Drosophila melanogaster: one gene and its partners. The gene in region 1 interacts genetically with each later gene. Each region holds a gene or a part of one and is shown in the gene's direction. Other genes may lie near its edges.

Evidence for each region. Genes that interact genetically often act in the same process or in processes that back each other up.
Region 2: of fu (region 1) and Dad, changing one suppresses a phenotype caused by changing the other (phenotypic suppression), as found in Drosophila melanogaster (one study listed by BioGRID).
Region 3: of fu (region 1) and cos, changing one suppresses a phenotype caused by changing the other (phenotypic suppression), as found in Drosophila melanogaster (one study listed by BioGRID).

The regions. Positions count from the first base shown.
Region 1 is NC_004354.4:18,655,918-18,661,714, forward strand, and holds fu (fused), read left to right. Parts: upstream 1-1,837; 5' UTR 1,838-1,922; coding exon 1,923-2,033; intron 2,034-2,105; coding exon 2,106-3,475; intron 3,476-3,534; coding exon 3,535-4,109; intron 4,110-4,177; coding exon 4,178-4,539; 3' UTR 4,540-4,571; coding exon of another isoform or gene 4,572-4,751; 3' UTR 4,752-5,287; downstream 5,288-5,797. Other genes in the region: CG6659 (uncharacterized protein), read right to left, coding at 1-353, 407-728, 797-1,058, 1,181-1,226; CG6696 (uncharacterized protein), read right to left, coding at 4,572-4,751, 5,322-5,758. UniProt on the Drosophila melanogaster protein: Probable serine/threonine-protein kinase; maternally required for correct patterning in the posterior part of each embryonic metamere. May be involved in control of cell division during metamorphosis and ovarian development. May interact with costal-2.
Region 2 is NT_033777.3:17,051,985-17,057,009, forward strand, and holds the start of Dad (daughters against dpp), read left to right. Parts: upstream 1-2,022; 5' UTR 2,023-2,378; intron 2,379-2,912; exon of another isoform or gene 2,913-3,051; 5' UTR 3,052-3,190; intron 3,191-5,025.
Region 3 is NT_033778.4:7,381,673-7,388,932, reverse strand, and holds cos (costa), read left to right. Parts: upstream 1-1,817; 5' UTR 1,818-1,953; coding exon 1,954-2,605; intron 2,606-2,663; coding exon 2,664-3,375; intron 3,376-3,431; coding exon 3,432-3,850; intron 3,851-3,913; coding exon 3,914-5,736; 3' UTR 5,737-6,757; downstream 6,758-7,260. Other genes in the region: Dhx15 (DEAH-box helicase 15), read right to left, coding at 1-225, 505-1,298, 1,353-1,405. UniProt on the Drosophila melanogaster protein: Regulates cubitus interruptus (ci) processing by recruiting multiple kinases to promote its efficient phosphorylation.

The DNA.
Region 1 (5,797 bases):
ATGAGGAACTTCAACGAGAATAAGTCGCCGTTCAGCAGATCCTGCGCGTGTCCCAGTCGCCGGCTGCGCACGTGACGCAACTGTCGCACCATTGTAATCAAAAATAGGAACAGCGAGATGCTCAGCTGCCAGGTGAGAAGCAGCTGGCTGTTGCCGTGCGACATTACAAAGGCGAGAGCGTGGCCCAGCAGGTGCGACAGCGAGTAGTCCAGCACGAAGGCGTTGACCAGAGCCGTGGGCAGCGCGCTCGCGTTCCAGGACGTCATCATGATCAGGATCTGGGTGGTGAAGATGAAGGTGGAGAACTGCCAGGAGAGTAGGGCGCAGGCGGTGAAAAGCGACATGGCGAAGATCTTCGAAGGGCAAAGATGTTACTGAGCTTAATGCAATAAAGCACACCTATTACCATGAACATGCGAGATGTGTGCCGCTGTCGGTGTATGATCCTTCCGATGCAGATACACAGATAAAACATCTGCAGGAAAATGAACGGAAAGGCGAAGTTCTCCCGCGCCAGCGGCCGCTCATAGATCTTGGCCACGAAGCTGTGGAACATCAGGTACGAGATTACGCCGTATATGCCACCGAAAATGTTCTCGCTGAGCAGCGTTCCGTACAGGTAGAGTACCAGCAGGGTTACCCCGCCCATCAGCCACACGAACTCCAGATAGAACTGCATCGGTTGCACCATTGGATTGAAGCCGGAGCGCACTACGTGAAAGAAGTACCTTTGGGGAGCGAAAGTGCATCTGCATTAGTGGACTTTTTGGGCATCACTCCTCTGGCAGTCACTTACGCCGTGACCAGCTCCGGCAGCACGTAGAATCGCTGCAGCACATTGACACTGTGCGGATACTCGATGTCCGTGACGTTCTTCAGCTGCTCGTAGCCGTGCCAAAAGTCCGGCCCTTCGGCCAGCTGCTTGTAGAAGGCATAGTACAGGGCATCCTCGCGCCGCAGAAGCGCCTCCCGCTCCAGCTGATTGAGCTGCTGGATGTTGGTGCGCGTCTCGAAGATCACGCGCACATGCTGCACGTATAGGAAGAAGAAGCCGCAGCCTGGGATGCGGATTGGAATTGGGAGTGTGGTCAATGGCAGTGGGAATCCCCAACTCAATTAGACTGCCGCCTGGAAGCGGAAGAGGCGTGGCAGAAGTGTCTGCCGGTTGGCGGAAACTCACCGATCAGCGCGTGCGACAGGATCACGTACAGGTTGGGCTCGCGCATCGTGCTGCGATTGTGGGTGTCGTCTCACTGGGTGGCTGTGTTCAAATTGGCAATCATTATTTATTTCACAACGATTATTCCTGGCTCCGCACAATAAAAACCAGCCAGCAATCAGCTGTTCTTCGGCCGTGCTTGTCTAGGGTGACCGTACCGAGTTGCTGTCAAAAGGGTCATTTGTGTTGGTTTGGTCACACTGAATTTTAGGTACATTACGATATATAGGTACATACCTATAATTAGTTATATTATCTACTGCACTTTTGGAATTTTTAATTATTTATATTGCATATCATTTATTGCACTTATTAAGTAAAAATTTGTACATTAAGAAATATATACATATAAATATTTATAATATATAATAATATATAAGTTAAAGTTCGTTCCAACTTTTATCACTTAATAAATGTTTATTCGCAGATAATACTAATACCTACTGCCACAGATAAAAGCGCAAACTAGTCTTGTATTTGTCTTGGATTGTATCATGATCTGGTCTATATAGATTTTTAGGTACAATTGCTGTCCAGCAAAAGCGTCATTTATCAGAAAAGGAACCCTGTATGAGCAATCTAGTATTTTCATATACCTACGTACCGAAGCCGAGTTCCCACCTCGGAGTCAACCTGCTACGGTCATACCGCACGCACTTCAGTGGTAATCACATCCCAATCCGCAGCAAAACAAAGAATAACCATGAACCGCTACGCGGTAAGCTCGATGGTGGGGCAAGGATCCTTCGGGTGCGTATACAAGGCGACACGCAAGGACGACAGCAAGGTGGTGGCCATCAAAGTGATCTCCAAGGTGAGTGGGGCGGGCCAGGTGATAAAGCAACAAGTCCATACAACTAGTTCACACCATATTCATGTTCTGCAGCGCGGAAGAGCCACGAAAGAGCTGAAGAATTTGCGCAGGGAGTGCGACATTCAGGCCCGGCTGAAGCATCCGCACGTCATCGAGATGATCGAGTCCTTCGAGTCGAAGACGGACCTTTTCGTGGTCACTGAGTTCGCGCTGATGGACCTGCACCGCTACCTGTCCTACAATGGAGCCATGGGCGAGGAGCCGGCACGTCGGGTGACCGGGCATCTGGTGTCCGCTCTGTACTACCTGCATTCAAACCGCATCCTCCACCGGGATCTCAAACCGCAAAACGTGCTGCTCGACAAGAACATGCACGCGAAACTCTGCGACTTTGGACTGGCCCGCAACATGACCCTGGGTACCCACGTGCTCACCTCGATCAAGGGAACGCCCCTCTACATGGCCCCGGAGCTGCTGGCGGAGCAGCCGTACGACCATCATGCGGACATGTGGTCACTGGGCTGCATAGCCTACGAAAGCATGGCCGGTCAGCCGCCCTTCTGTGCCAGCTCCATCCTGCATCTGGTGAAGATGATCAAGCACGAGGACGTCAAGTGGCCGAGCACGCTGACTAGCGAGTGCCGCTCCTTCCTACAGGGCCTGCTTGAGAAGGACCCCGGTCTGCGCATATCCTGGACGCAGCTGTTGTGTCACCCCTTCGTTGAGGGACGCATCTTTATCGCAGAAACGCAGGCGGAGGCGGCCAAGGAATCGCCTTTCACAAATCCCGAAGCCAAGGTTAAGTCGTCAAAACAGTCCGATCCGGAGGTAGGCGATCTGGACGAGGCCCTGGCCGCTTTGGACTTTGGCGAGTCGCGACAGGAAAACTTGACCACCTCCCGCGACAGCATAAACGCCATTGCTCCCAGCGATGTTGAGCATCTTGAGACCGATGTGGAGGACAATATGCAACGTGTGGTCGTTCCCTTCGCGGACTTGTCCTACAGGGATCTGTCTGGTGTTCGGGCAATGCCGATGGTACACCAGCCGGTGATCAACTCGCACACTTGCTTCGTCAGTGGCAACTCCAATATGATCCTCAATCATATGAACGACAACTTCGACTTTCAGGCTTCCTTGCGGGGCGGAGGCGTGGCCGCTAAGCCAATAGTCGCTCCAACCGTACGCCAGTCGCGCAGCAAGGATCTAGAGAAGCGTAAGCTTAGTCAGAATCTGGATAACTTCTCTGTTCGCTTGGGTCACAGCGTCGACCATGAGGCGCAACGCAAGGCCACGGAGATTGCTACACAGGAAAAGCATAACCAGGAAAACAAGCCTCCCGCTGAAGCAATTTCCTACGCAAATTCTCAGCCCCCGCAGCAACAGCCACAACAACTTAAACACTCAATGCATTCCACCAATGAGGAAAAGCTGAGCAGCGAGTAAGTGGCCACTGCGCCTCATAGAATTTCTTTTACTAACTTTCCCCTTTCAATAACAGCAACACTCCGCCGTGCCTGCTCCCGGGGTGGGATAGCTGCGATGAATCCCAAAGTCCGCCCATCGAGAACGATGAGTGGCTAGCCTTCTTGAACAGATCGGTGCAGGAGCTGCTTGACGGCGAACTGGACTCATTGAAACAGCACAACCTGGTGAGCATTATTGTGGCACCGCTGCGCAACTCCAAGGCCATTCCACGGGTACTCAAGAGTGTGGCCCAGTTGCTGTCGTTGCCCTTTGTGCTGGTGGATCCTGTTTTGATTGTTGACCTCGAGCTCATCCGCAACGTGTACGTGGACGTAAAACTGGTGCCCAATCTCATGTACGCCTGCAAGCTGCTCCTGTCGCACAAACAACTCTCGGACTCGGCTGCCTCCGCCCCACTCACCACGGGTTCGCTCAGTCGAACGTTGCGTAGCATTCCGGAGCTAACTGTCGAGGAGCTGGAGACGGCTTGCAGTCTGTACGAACTGGTCTGCCACTTGGTACACCTGCAGCAGCAGTTCCTAACGCAGTTCTGCGATGCGGTTGCCATTCTGGCAGCAAGCGATCTGTTCCTCAACTTCCTCACGCACGGTAAGATTACCCTTAGATGGTATGAGCTGACTCCTGTAAACTGTTAGCCCGTTCCCGTTCTCCCGTAGACTTCAGGCAATCGGATTCAGACGCCGCCTCTGTTCGCCTGGCTGGGTGCATGTTGGCCCTGATGGGCTGTGTGCTGCGCGAGCTGCCCGAAAACGCGGAGCTTGTAGAACGGATTGTCTTTAATCCGCGGCTAAACTTCGTCTCGCTCCTGCAGAGCCGACACCACCTGTTGCGGCAACGTTCCTGTCAGCTGCTGCGCCTGCTGGCCCGCTTCAGCCTGCGCGGCGTGCAGCGCATATGGAATGGAGAGCTGCGATTTGCGCTGCAACAACTCTCTGAGCACCACTCGTACCCGGCACTCCGTGGGGAGGCCGCCCAGACCCTCGACGAGATCAGTCACTTCACTTTTTTCGTCACCTAGCCGGCACTTTCTTTTATTGGCCTCAGGCGTTTTTATCCGAGCAGATCCTGAATGTTGCCCTGGAAGTAGTCGAGCAGTTCGTCGATGTAGTTCCCGAAGCGGTCGAAGTTGAGCAGGTAGTCCTCGCTGCAGTCCTGTTCGTACATCTCGTTTAGCTTGGACACATCCTTGTCGGAGAGGCCGCGTCTCTGGCCCAGCGAGGCGTACGGATCCTGGAAGCAAAGGACAGGAGTCAGAGAGTGTAGACGATGCAAGCTCCCCCAAGTCATTACAAACATCTCATCGCTTCAACTAAAACTGCTAAGGTGTAGTCAACCATTCAGCTAAAGAATTCTCATTTGATATAGTTCCAACTGGACAAGGAAGCAAAATGCTTCGTCTATTCCTAGCATAGTTGCACGTCATTGGACCATGTGTTAATATAGGAATTCCTAATCTGAATATGATCAAATCACTATCACTATCGAATTTAAATATTTTATGAGCCACGGTTTTTGGCATTCCTAATGGAATCTAAGTTAATTGATAGGTGTTTTTGAATGCACATATTCAAGTGTGGTTTGTGCAAAATAGATTGATAGCATTATAGTTTGTATATCGAAATATAACATTTAGGTGTAGTAATTGTTAAGATAAGCGAATTTACTGTATGTCCATACAATAGTCCATTAATTCGCAGTATTACTATTGAATGTTAAACTGAACTCCTTTACAGTGTAAGCGATTTAAAATAATACTCAATTACATGAATAACTGGTAACCATTTGGGTTGGCCTACTCACCAATGGCTCTATGGTGGCTTTCCCGTTCTTGCTGAAGGCCCGCGAGCTGTAGTGCATGACGCTCTGGTAGTCGTACTCCACCCCGAAGTTGGTGATGTGGGTGCGGGCGTACTTGTTGAAGTTGTGCGCGTGCCCGTCGAGGATGTTCTCCCAGTTGATCTTGACGTACTCATCCCGCTCCGTGGCGCTCTGCTGGTGGTAGAAGCCGAGCGCGTGCAGCAGCTCGTGCACCACCACGCCGTGTGTGACGCACTTGGGTGTGTTCAGGTTGAGCACCTGGCCACCCGAACGCCGGCCGACGCTCGACCAGCAGCCGGAGTAGTTGCCCTTGATGAGCAGCCAGTGCTTGTCGCCCTGTTCGTACGGCCGGAAACGTATGCAGGTGCGGTCGTGGTACTCCTTGAAGGCCTTCAGTATGACCATGGTCTGGTTGGCGTCTGTTTGGAAAGGGTGTTTTACTACTTTGGACTGCTTGC
Region 2 (5,025 bases), on another chromosome or scaffold:
CTGTCGGCATTTAAAAGAGTCGAATCGGTAACCCGATACTTTCCAAACAACAAAACTCGTAAACAGCCGAGCGAGCTAAGATTTCATAGGTGACCATCTACTATATCACCCAAACCATATACCATACCTCTTCCCACACACAAAAGCCATACACATATTTGTGCTTATCCACGTTGTGCATTTGTTTATAGTTAAATGACGTAACTTTTAATAAGGTTGACTGTTGCGATAGACACGTGTAAAACTAACCACAATGTAATATCTCCGATGTAGTTTTAAAATGGCGAAAATATAAAGTAAGCATTTAGTTTTAATATATACATTCGAAATACCTTTTTCCCAATATTATGCTTAAGAGCAATTGGCTTAGTAGAGTTGCAATATTTTTATATTCTAAGAAAAGGGTTAACCATAACAAAGGCACTGCTGAATAATTGAGGCCCTTTAAATAAGATGCTTTGTGGGACGCTACTCCTCGCTGTCGTATTATTTGTTTAGCATTTGCGGAATGTCTCTGGCCTCATAAGAAAATAATGTATTCAAACTCCTGCCGCCGTCCTTTCCGGAGTTAATACCCATGCCCCTCCACGGGGCAAGTCAGGGGCCCGACTCTCGCTTATTTAACGCTCACGACGCGATCAAATTCCTCCTGCCAACATCGCCGGTTGCCGGTTTCACTCCACAAGTGGCCTGTGTTCCCTGTTCCCGACCTATTATTATCGTAATGACGGGAGCCTATTTGCTTTTGTGTTTTCGAGTCGTCCAAACGAGAGACAATTATGTATTTCTACTGGAACTGACGAACCAGGGTTCCTGTTGGAGCGTCTGCTTGGCACTGTGAAAAATCTGGACGTGATCTTGTGTTCCTTACACGTTTAAGTAATACCGGTTTTAAATTACAATAAACTACAATAACTAAATTCGACGTTGCCACTGTATTGCACTGTACTGTATGTCATAGATGAACTAAAGGTAAACTTATATTTATTATTATTTAGAGAATTAGTTATAGTAATAACGACTGTAAAAAATTTTAGCATAGATAATTCCATCGACTTTTCTCGCAGTGCGGTATGCGATCCTCGCTGCGCGCTTTAAGTGTGTTTCTGTGTGTGTAGGGCCGCTGCAGGGGCGCCACTTTGTATGGGCGTGTGTGCGTCCGTGTGTTTGGCAGACATGGGCAAGGCAATGCAACTGATATGCCCTTGATCACAACCATTCATCACATTTTGCGGCAACCAAGACCGCGCTAAATGTCGATGTTGCTTCCTCAGGTTCTCCGCTCTCGACAGCATCGAGGGAGTTGAGTTTTTTGGCAACTTCAACAGACGTATTTAACAGGGGCTAATATGTACTGAGAGTTTTTAATTTGATTCGAATTAATTAAACCTTGTATGCCTTTTAAGCATTTACCTTTTAAGACATCTTAAATAAAATTTTAAGGTACATTAATCTTTTTTTAACTTAAATTATAAAATGCTCATACTGAACACGGCTTTTCAATTATAAACATATAGTTATAGATTTCTCCTATATTATAGGACAGCTTAGTATTTCCCACATAATTTGTCTAGGAAAACTTATCAATTTTTGAAATTACCGCGTTAGCCAACACTATTTCCAACGGCACTGCCAGCATGAAGCGAGTGTGGGTGTGCGTGCGCAGGTTGTATCTGTCCGCGGAAGCGAAACGAAACTCACCACGCCATAGTAGCCATCCAACGGATGCTCTCCACTCTCAGATGTCTTGGATTCTTTGGTTTAGCACTTGTAGTAGGAATGGGAATGTGAAAAATATGAAGATATTTTAACAAGTCTTTTCTAATTAATAATAAAACTGAAGTTCTTATACATTGTTAGAACGGGAACTTTATGTATGATTCTAATTTTACAATTTCTTGGTCTCTTAATTTTTCTCTCTCTCTCTAAACCTCCCTCTCCCAGGCGCTCTCTCAGGCGTTTCTCCCACGTTTATTCCCCACAGCTCCAAAGACTATCAATCCGCACAGTTAGCGCTTCGCTCATTGCCCCAACAATTTTCAACCGCGTCGCTTGTGTGTTCTTTTGCCGTTCGAGAAATCCAAATCCGAAAGATATCAACGAAAAGATGGATACTTGACGTATTGCCACGAGAAATTTTCCGAAATAACGTTATTTGTGTTCGAGACTGCTAAATGATTTTTGGGTTAATTAAATGACAAAAAAACGCAGTTCCTAAATATCGGACTTTTTCGCCTTTCCCCGACTCTTTTTTCGCAACATTTACGGGTTTTGTTTTTGTTGTTGTAAACGCGGGCGTCGTAAACAACAAACAAGTGCAGTGAAGTTGTTGTGCGCTCTAGAACTGAAATGTGAAGGAGGAAATACATAGAAAAAGTGTGAGTGCAGCAGGCAAATCAATTGAAGTGAGAATCGAAGGGGATTGGAAATCGTCAGGCGAAAATCTTTTATTTTTGCTGCTTGCTGTTATGAATTCTATGCATTTGTTTGTGTTTGTGTGTGCAAAGAAAGAGCGAGAATTCTCCGCCCGGATAACGGATCTTCGATCTCGTTTGCGTGCGTGTGTTTTGTGGTTGTGTTCGTGTGCGAATTAAAAATCAATGAGCATCGGGGGGAAAATGCGGGCCAAATAATAAGTGTGTTCAAGCTTTAACTGAGCAAATAACAGCAAGAAAAGAAATGCAATTGTTCGCCAGCCACGTACACACATTGTACCTGCACTGGCCCATACAAACAAACAAACGTATACGTATATAGCGGTGGTAGCGACGCCGGCAGAATCAAAGCAGAGCGCAAATCGCAAGCCAACAAAAAACACCTTTTCCACCACGTTAAAAATTGTTATTGTTTTCCGGCATTCGGCTACTTCAACATAATATTCAACCGAAATCAACACATTACTCGCACCTTATTAAATCCACACAAACGTACACATGCATAGGAAAAAGTGACTGACCAGCAGCAAAAAAAGAAAAAATCGACTGCGGTTACCAATCCAATAACAAAAACCCGTCGGCACGTGTTAAACAAATTCAAATTCGTTGCTAATAGTTTGTTTCTTCTGCAGTAAATGTAAATACAAATTATCAAGTGAACCTCTAAACATATCAAATACACCTACACATATCAAAAAGTAATACTACATAAGGAAAGGATTAAACGGAAACCACCTAACAAAAAATTTTAAACAGTAAGTACCTATTTCCACTCCTTAGAACTCAAAATCAAGCCGATTTGAAGAGGTGCACTCGTGATTATGCAAAATAGCTAAGTCAACAAACAAATGCTTATCACTCATTAGCGTTATTTAAGTTTTCATATTCAATATTTTCTGATGCGGTTTCGAAGATAATTTTATATTTTATATAATACCGAGTCGCGAATATCTGTTACCAAATCGCTATAGTTTCCAATTGGACTTACAATTACTCATGCTTTCATTATCAGAAAGTCCATAACTACGTATGTATATATAAATATACATATAAATTTGTAAACGTGAATTTGGAAAAAATAATCACTCAGCGGGTTTGAATAAAAATTCTTGAGTATAGACTGTTTTCAATTGATTGTTAAATGTGCGATATATGGCTTTTGAAGTGTTGATGTGCAATTTTTTTTTTTTGTATTGGACTTGCTCTAAATACTGAATTTTATGAACGTAAACAGCTCTCTCTATTGTTCACTGGATTACACATCTTTCATAGTTTTAAATGTGGAAGGGTTTTTGTTCCGGCTGACTCAAGATTGGTAAATATTTGAAAGCAAAAGTACGGTGGTATCAATTACTTTGCAATTTTGAAGCTAAAAACTGTGGTGCATACATCGCACATCATAAATAATTTTAGATGTATGTCCATATGTAAATAATTTATTTCTGTCGCTTTCGCATTGCATTTTTTATTATTGACAAATATTAATCGTGCAGTTATACGGTTTATGTGGAGGGAATGAAGGATCTTATAAATTGATTCCTATTATTAATTATGTTTCTGTTCTTGACAAAATAAGTAAAGTCCTAAGATTGGTCTCATAAGATAATGCTACTGTTTAAAACATACCTTTTTTTGTTTCCGATTGAAAAACTCAGATGCATTCTGATAAGTTCTAATTCAAAGCTAGACTTTAAGAACGCTAAGTTCTCGACTTGATGACTTTTCAGAAGAGTTTCGAGAGCGCCTTCAATTCTAATTCCCACCACACTCGCACTCTCTGGTGGTACGTACTCTTTTGAACCACGGCTGCGGTAGATTATTTCATACTCACCTCAACCTTAAATTGTTGATTCTTCAACTTGTCAAACCGGCTGACAAACCGACCGTCGCGTCGCTCGTCCCTGTCCGTGTGTCTGTCTAAGGTGAGCGTGTGTTGGTGTGGCGCCATTCCGACGACGCCTCTGCCGCCGACATCGTTACTATTATTTCTTTTATTACGTCAGTGGCGCCAGGCATTTCCCTCTCGCTCGCACGCCCGCCGCCCTGCCTTTTTTTTACTCTGCACGCAAGCATTCTGTATGTATGAGTGAGCGAGAGAGCGCGAGTGTGTTTGATGCGGTGTGTTGGTGTTGGTGAGCGTGCTTGTGGGGCTGACTCGTAATTTTGTTGCTGTTCGTCGCTGCTGTGCTGTTTTTTATGTTGTTGCCGTCATGCCGGCGGCGCCACTTTTGTCGTCGATAAGGAGCGCAAGAAATGCCAGCAACAAAATGGAAATAGTCGCATGGGCCACACACATACACAAACACAAGCGTATTTGGGCTGTTAATTTGCGGCGCTCTCCCGTTCGTTCCCCCTTACCAATCGTTCCCCCTTACCAATCGTTCCCCCCCACCATCGTCCGTCTCTTTCTCGCTGACAGCTGATGCTGCCGCACAGATCTTTGCATATGCACTGGCGTCGGCTGTCCGTTGGTGAAAGAGGGCGGGGAGGGGGTATTACTCACTCAAGCGATCCACCACTAGATTCCTTGCCTGCCACCAGGGGCGTAGTCTGGAAATCGAAAACGGGGAATGTAGCCTTTTTATAGGAA
Region 3 (7,260 bases), on another chromosome or scaffold:
CGGCAATGTTGGTGGACACCACGACCTTGCGTCCAATTGCGCCATTAGCATTTGGCGGCGGGGCCGGTTCGAAGATGCGCTGCTGCAAATTGGGCGGCAGCGTCGAGTACAGGGGAATGCATTTCAGCTCTCCAATTTCTGAGCCCAAATTGTCGATCTCGCGCTTGATGCGCTTGCAAGCCTCCTCAATCTCCTCCTGGCCCGTGAGGAACATTAGGATATCACCTAGAGTAGCAAAATCAAGTTGGGGTTTAGTTTACAATGGAAAAAGCGAATGCGTCTTTTCCGGCATTGAATAGGATCATATTCAAAAGTCGTAAACACTTGAATGATTACAATACCATTAAAGCAAATACGAAGCATTTGCCGCCCTTCGGCACTCGGAAAGTTTATATTTTGCCTGGCACTTTTACATTGTAAACATATGATCGATAAATGCTTCTTAGAACAATGAACTAGCAAGCTATTAAATGAACTCCAAGCTAAACTCATTTACCAACTTACCCTCAATTTCCTCGCACATGTGTATCTGGATTACCGTGCGAATAGCAGCCTCTAGGTAATCTCTTTCTGGTTCGGGCGTGTAGAAGATCTCCACGGGATGTGTGCGACCGGGCACTTTCATGAGCGGTGCGTTGTCGAAATACTGCTGGAACTTGCCGGCGTCCAGTGTGGCGGACATGACCACCAGCTTAAGGTCGCTGCGCTGACGAATGACCTCCTTGAGCACGCCCATTAGAATGTCAGTGGCCAAGGTCCGCTCGTGAGCCTCGTCAAGCAGAATGACCTGGTACTGGTCCAGCATGGGATCAGACATGGCCTCGCGCAACAACATACCATCGGTCATGTACTTGAGCAGCGTCTTGGCCGTGGAGCAGTCCTCGAAACGGATGGAGTAGCCGACCTCTTCGCCCAGTTTTACGTCCATCTCCTCCGAAACGCGCTGGGCCACGGACATGGCGGCAACTCGACGTGGCTGTGTGCAGGAGACTCCCTTGCGCCCCTTGGATACTGCGAAGTCCACGCACCACTGCGGGATCTGGGTCGTCTTGCCGGAGCCAGTCTCGCCCACCAGCACAATACACTGGTGCAGGCTGAGCAGCCGCATAAAGTCCGCCTGGTACTCGAACACGGGCAGCGCAATGCGCTTCTTGTAGAGATTCTGGTACCGTTGTGAGTACGGCGTGTTGGTCAGCGGGTTCATCGTGGGCGGTTGCTTGTTGGGCACGAATCCGCCCAGGATTTGAGCCACTGTGCCGGCAGCGGCTGCCGCCGACGAGGAGGACGCCTCCGGGTCCCTGGTGAGAAAGGAGCGTTACATTACTGCCGTATGTTGGCCTCGGGTCACTTACTTCTTCGCCTTGCTGCCGTAGGTCTCCCCCACTTCGATTCGACGCTTGGACATGCTAATTTATGGTGATTACTGCACTTAATTCTCAAAACGAAGCGTTTAGCACAAAAAAAAACACGCGCTCAGTGAGACCTTTAGCATATACCGACCATGCTGATCGCAACTTTTAAAATACCAAAGTTTACTGTCTGTGTATACTATATAAGCCCATGGTTAGCGAAGATCACAACCAACAGCACGGCAGCAATTTGGCATTTAAAAAAAAACAGCAGTTCAAGCTTAAGTCTTTTGACGAGAATCTATCTATAGAATTCGGTTTTACTCACCAGTTTGAAGAATAGTTGTGAGCTCACAGTCTTAAAATTGACATTTGACAGCAATTTGATTGGAAACTGATTTTGATTTTTACAGTAACAAACTGTTACATGGATTCGGTATTTTCGGCTTGGGTTGGCGCTTTAGCGTCGGCCACACTATCACATTGTATCGATTCGGAGGGAGTTGAATTTTTGCACGTATTTGAAAGCGCAAAGATGCGAAACAAAGAGCAGGATATCGAATGAAAGAGCTCCTGCGAGACCAGGACTAGTTGCCTAACCACCATGGAAATACCCATTCAGGTAGCGGTGCGCATCTTCCCGCATAGAGAGCTCAAGGACTTGTTGAGGAGCTTCGGCCCCACAGAGCCCAAAAAGGATGCGCAGGCGGTGGATGAGGGGGCGGACTCCAAGGACTCCGAGGCTCAAGTTCCGGCGGCTGAGAAGGACAATCCGTCAATTTCAGAGACGGACCCAAACGGGAATGCTGAGCAGGACAGTGCGGCCGATTCGAAGACAATTCCAGATGCCAATGGCAACGACAGTGGTCAGAAGGATTACCCAGACTCCGCATATTGCGTTCAGGCTATTCCCATCAGCGCTTCGGCCCTGGGATTGCCCAGTGCCCTGCCAGGCGGAGATCCCATGGACAGCATTGCAGCTGGACTGATACAAGTCGGTCCCCACACGGTTCCGGTCACCCACGCCCTGCCCAGCAGCAGCTCCCAGGAGCAAGTGTACCACCAGACGGTCTTTCCGCTCATCACCCTGTTCCTGGAAGGTTTCGACGCATCTGTAGTCACCTATGGCCAGAGGGGCCAGGGCAAAAGCTACACACTCTACGGAAACGTCCAGGACCCTACTCTGACGGATTCCACCGAAGGAGTCGTCCAACTTTGTGTCCGTGACATTTTCTCACACATATCGTTGCACCCAGGTGAGTTTACTAAAAGGATCTTATAAGCATAGTTATCCATTTCCATTTTCACTTTAAGAACGCACCTATGCCATCAACGTGGGATTCGTGGAAATTTGCGGAGGTGATGTCTGCGACTTGTTGGGCATGGGAAACATACACTGCACCAACGTAGATGCCGTCTTCCACTGGTTGCAGGTGGGTCTGTCGGCCCGCCAATCGTTGCCGGCGCACACCCTGTTCACGCTTACCCTGGAGCAGCAGTGGGTGTCCAAGGAGGGGCTGTTGCAGCACCGCTTGTCCACGGCCAGTTTCTCGGATCTCTGCGGCACAGAGAGATGTGGAGACCAGCCACCGGGACGTCCTCTCGATGCTGGCCTGTGTATGCTGGAGCAGGTGATCAGTACTCTCACAGATCCAGGCCTCATGTACGGGGTTAATGGCAACATTCCGTACGGTCAGACCACGCTCACCACTCTCCTGAAGGACTCGTTCGGCGGACGGGCTCAGACGCTCGTGATCCTGTGCGTGTCACCGCTGGAAGAGCACTTGCCCGAAACTCTTGGCAACCTGCAGTTCGCCTTTAAGGTGCAGTGCGTACGTAATTTTGTAATTATGAACACCTACTCCGACGACAACACGATGATCGTTCAGCCGGCTGAGCCTGTTCCCGAATCCAATTCCTCTGCTGGACCCTTGTCGCAGGCGGGACCAGGGGACAACTTTGGCCTACAATTCGCAGCAAGCCAATGGTCCAAACTAGTTACCAACGCCGAGGGGCTATTTTCCAAGTAAGTGTACACATTATTTCCGATGTGGGCCTTTTGACGACAAAAGAAATTTATAGGCTGATAGACTCCAAGCTAATTACTGAAGTGGAGAAGGAGCAGATCGAGGAGTGGCTCTTCCTCAAGCAGGAGTGCGAGGAGTGTCTCAGCTCAACAGAGGCTATGCGTCAGCAAAAACAGTTGGTTCCCATTCTGGAGGCCGAGGAGCCCGAGGACGTGAATTCTGAAGCAGCCAATTCGGAGTCGCCAAACTCCGACAACGAAAACGACACAGACAATGAGTCGCATCGGCCCGATCTGGACGACAAGATAGAAAGTCTAATGGAAGAGTTTCGCGACAAAACAGACGCTCTTATACTTGAAAAACACGCTGAATATCTATCCAAGCATCCGAAGGCGGTTATGCAAAGCCAAGACCGCGAGATTGAGGCACAGCCGCCAGAAGAAAATGGTGATGATCGAAAAGTCAGCATTGGCAGTAAGTCTTTGCCTTGAATAACATTTTTTTATACAGTAACATGTTGATTCCTTGCTTTAATAGGTCGCAGGAGAAGTGTTCAGCCAGGTGCTAGCTTAAGTACTGCTGAGCTTGCCATGCTTAATCGGGTAGCTTCCCAGCAGCCGCCTCCGCCCATCGATCCTGAGTCGGTCGTCGATCCTCTGGAAAGTTCTTCGGGCGAAGGAATCCGTCAGGCGGCTCTCGCTGCCGCCGCCGCCACTGCTCCTATTGAACAGCTGCAGAAAAAATTGCGCAAACTGGTCGCTGAGATCGAGGGCAAGCAACGACAGTTACGGGAAATCGAAGAGACAATCCAGGTAAAACAAAATATAATCGCCGAATTGGTCAAGAACAGCGATACACGCAGCCATGCAAAGCAAAGATTTCACAAGAAACGTGCCAAACTTGAGGCCGAGTGCGACAAGGCCAAGAAGCAGTTAGGTAAGGCGCTAGTTCAAGGCCGGGATCAGTCGGAGATTGAGCGATGGACCACGATAATCGGACATCTCGAGCGTCGACTAGAAGACCTCAGCTCAATGAAGCATATTGCGGGTGAGAGCGGACAGAAGGTGAAGAAGCTACAGCAATCGGTGGGCGAGTCGCGAAAACAGGCCGATGATTTACAGAAAAAGCTTCGAAAGGAGTGCAAGCTGCGCTGCCAGATGGAGGCGGAGCTGGCCAAACTACGAGAATCCAGGGAGACTGGCAAAGAGCTAGTGAAGGCGCAAGGTTCTCCCGAGCAACAAGGCCGCCAGTTAAAGGCAGTACAGGCTAGGATTACGCACCTTAATCACATTTTACGCGAGAAGTCGGATAACCTGGAGGAGCAGCCGGGACCAGAACAGCAGGAGACCTTGCGTCATGAGATCCGCAACTTGCGCGGAACTCGTGACTTGTTGTTGGAAGAACGCTGTCATTTGGACCGCAAACTTAAGCGGGACAAGGTGCTGACGCAAAAGGAGGAGCGCAAGCTGCTCGAGTGCGATGAGGCCATCGAGGCCATAGATGCGGCCATAGAATTCAAGAACGAGATGATCACGGGCCACCGCTCCATCGACACGAGCGACCGAATTCAGCGGGAGAAGGGAGAACAGATGCTGATGGCACGCCTAAATCGTCTCTCAACGGAGGAGATGCGAACACTTCTGTACAAATACTTCACGAAGGTTATCGATTTGCGCGACTCTTCACGAAAGCTGGAGCTGCAGCTGGTGCAGTTGGAGCGTGAGCGGGATGCCTGGGAGTGGAAGGAGCGTGTTCTGTCCAATGCCGTGCGCCAGGCTAGACTGGAAGGCGAACGGAATGCGGTGCTGCTGCAGCGCCAGCACGAAATGAAACTCACTTTGATGCTGCGTCACATGGCGGAGGAAACGTCGGCCAGTTCGGCCAGCTACGGAGAACGAGCTTTGGCCCCTGCCTGTGTCGCCCCGCCGGTGCAGGCCAGTAGTGATTTCGACTACGATCATTTCTACAAAGGTGGCGGCAATCCAAGCAAGGCACTGATCAAAGCGCCAAAGCCGATGCCCACCGGCTCGGCGCTAGACAAATACAAGGACAAAGAGCAACGCAGCGGACGCAACATCTTTGCCAAGTTCCATGTGCTCACCAGATATGCGTCAGCTGCCGCAGCCGGTTCCTCAGGGTCCACGGCCGAGGAATCCACGGCCCTGATTGAGTCAACCACCACGGCCACGGCAACCACTACGTCGACAACCACCACTGGAGCCGTAGGAAAAGTGAAGGACAAGGCCCTGGTCAGCTTCAGGCCGGAGCAGCTGAAGCGTCTGATGCCAGCTCCGACGGCCACGAAAGTGACGCGTCAGAAGAACAAGATAATTATCCAGGACGCAAGTCGTCGAAACTAAATACGAATTTAACCATTTCCAGGACGATATTATAAGGTTAAGCCAAATAGCCATATACAATTAATAGCCATGAGCTGAAATCCAGCCACTTTAATAATTAAGGCGATAATATAAAAAAATGCTTAAAAATGTATAACAGATTACTCCCATATACATGCATACATTTTAATCAATAGTCCGACATATATACCAGCTTGAATTTATTAGTTTACTGCTTGTCGTTTAACTTATTAAAGTGGCTGGAGTTCGATATCTTTTTAAGTGTGAAGCAATAGCTCAGATCCTGGTAACAAGAACTGAACAAGTTTCGTCCACAGTCATGACACAAATAGACTACAACACATGGTTCTCATTCCGGCTCTTTAGCTGGGGAGCATTTATTTTAGAAACCCCCACACGTACATACACCTAGCATATGAAAGTAACTATCCTCATGAGATTCAACCGTAAAGACTTGACCTGCTACTTAAGATACTCGCAAGACAAACCGTACACAAAACTCGCTCAAAGTGTTGACCTAAGTCTCCGCATTGTTTAACTTGTACATAACAATAATTATTAGGTAACCACTTAATTTTAATTGATTTTGTTAGTTTTAGCTTAGTTGTAAACACTATTGTGTCTTCCCTCGAATTTTAATTGACCTTCGATACCAATTACAACATACGTACTCCATACCCAAGTGTTAACCTTTAATATTCTATCAAAAGCATTTACTCTGTACAACTTATAAATGCTTCAAATCGCAGTATTTGCGCTAATCCAATACTCATTTTGCATTAACTTAAAATTAAAATTCAATACTGTTTGGTTGTGTACAACGTATTTTTTATTGTCCATTGATATAGATGCAGTTTGCACTGTACTCCGAGTAACTTAAATTGATATTAATGTATGTATGTTCCCTCAATATCAGCGTGTGAAAAATTATAAACACATTTGTAAGCATACATATTCCGCCAAATCGCTCGGCATGGCTTTGTGTGGATATTGTTGGTTAAGCAAATAAATATATACAAACTAAACTAATCAATCAGTGTTTAATCAGTGTTTTATATTCAAAATAAAATAGTTATCGTCTTATAAAGATAATTAAGTTCTACATTTGCAGCTGAAATCCAAGCAAACACAGTCCACAAGGCAACAGGTGAGAAATGTCCCAGAAATTTCCCAAACAATCGCCCCTTCGGACACACACACACACAGAAAGCGCAAAGAGAGAGGATGAGAGGGAGAGAGAGAGAGCGCCGGTTTAAGCGTTGTATCTAAATCCGATGGCGAGTATCTGAGCATCCGATTCAGTCTTGTTTGGACCGTCGAGCGATCGAGAACCGGATTTCAGCGCTAGTCGGCGAATCGCGAGAGCGTGCGAGTATTTGTGTGTGCGTGTGAGCGTTTGTTTTGGGACACCGATACGGATACGGGTACGGATAGACGGATATACGGCAGCGGTACGCGATTAGCAATCCGCCAACCGGTTGCAGCGGTGCTAGTGCACCACCCTACAAAAAAGTGAATAATAGT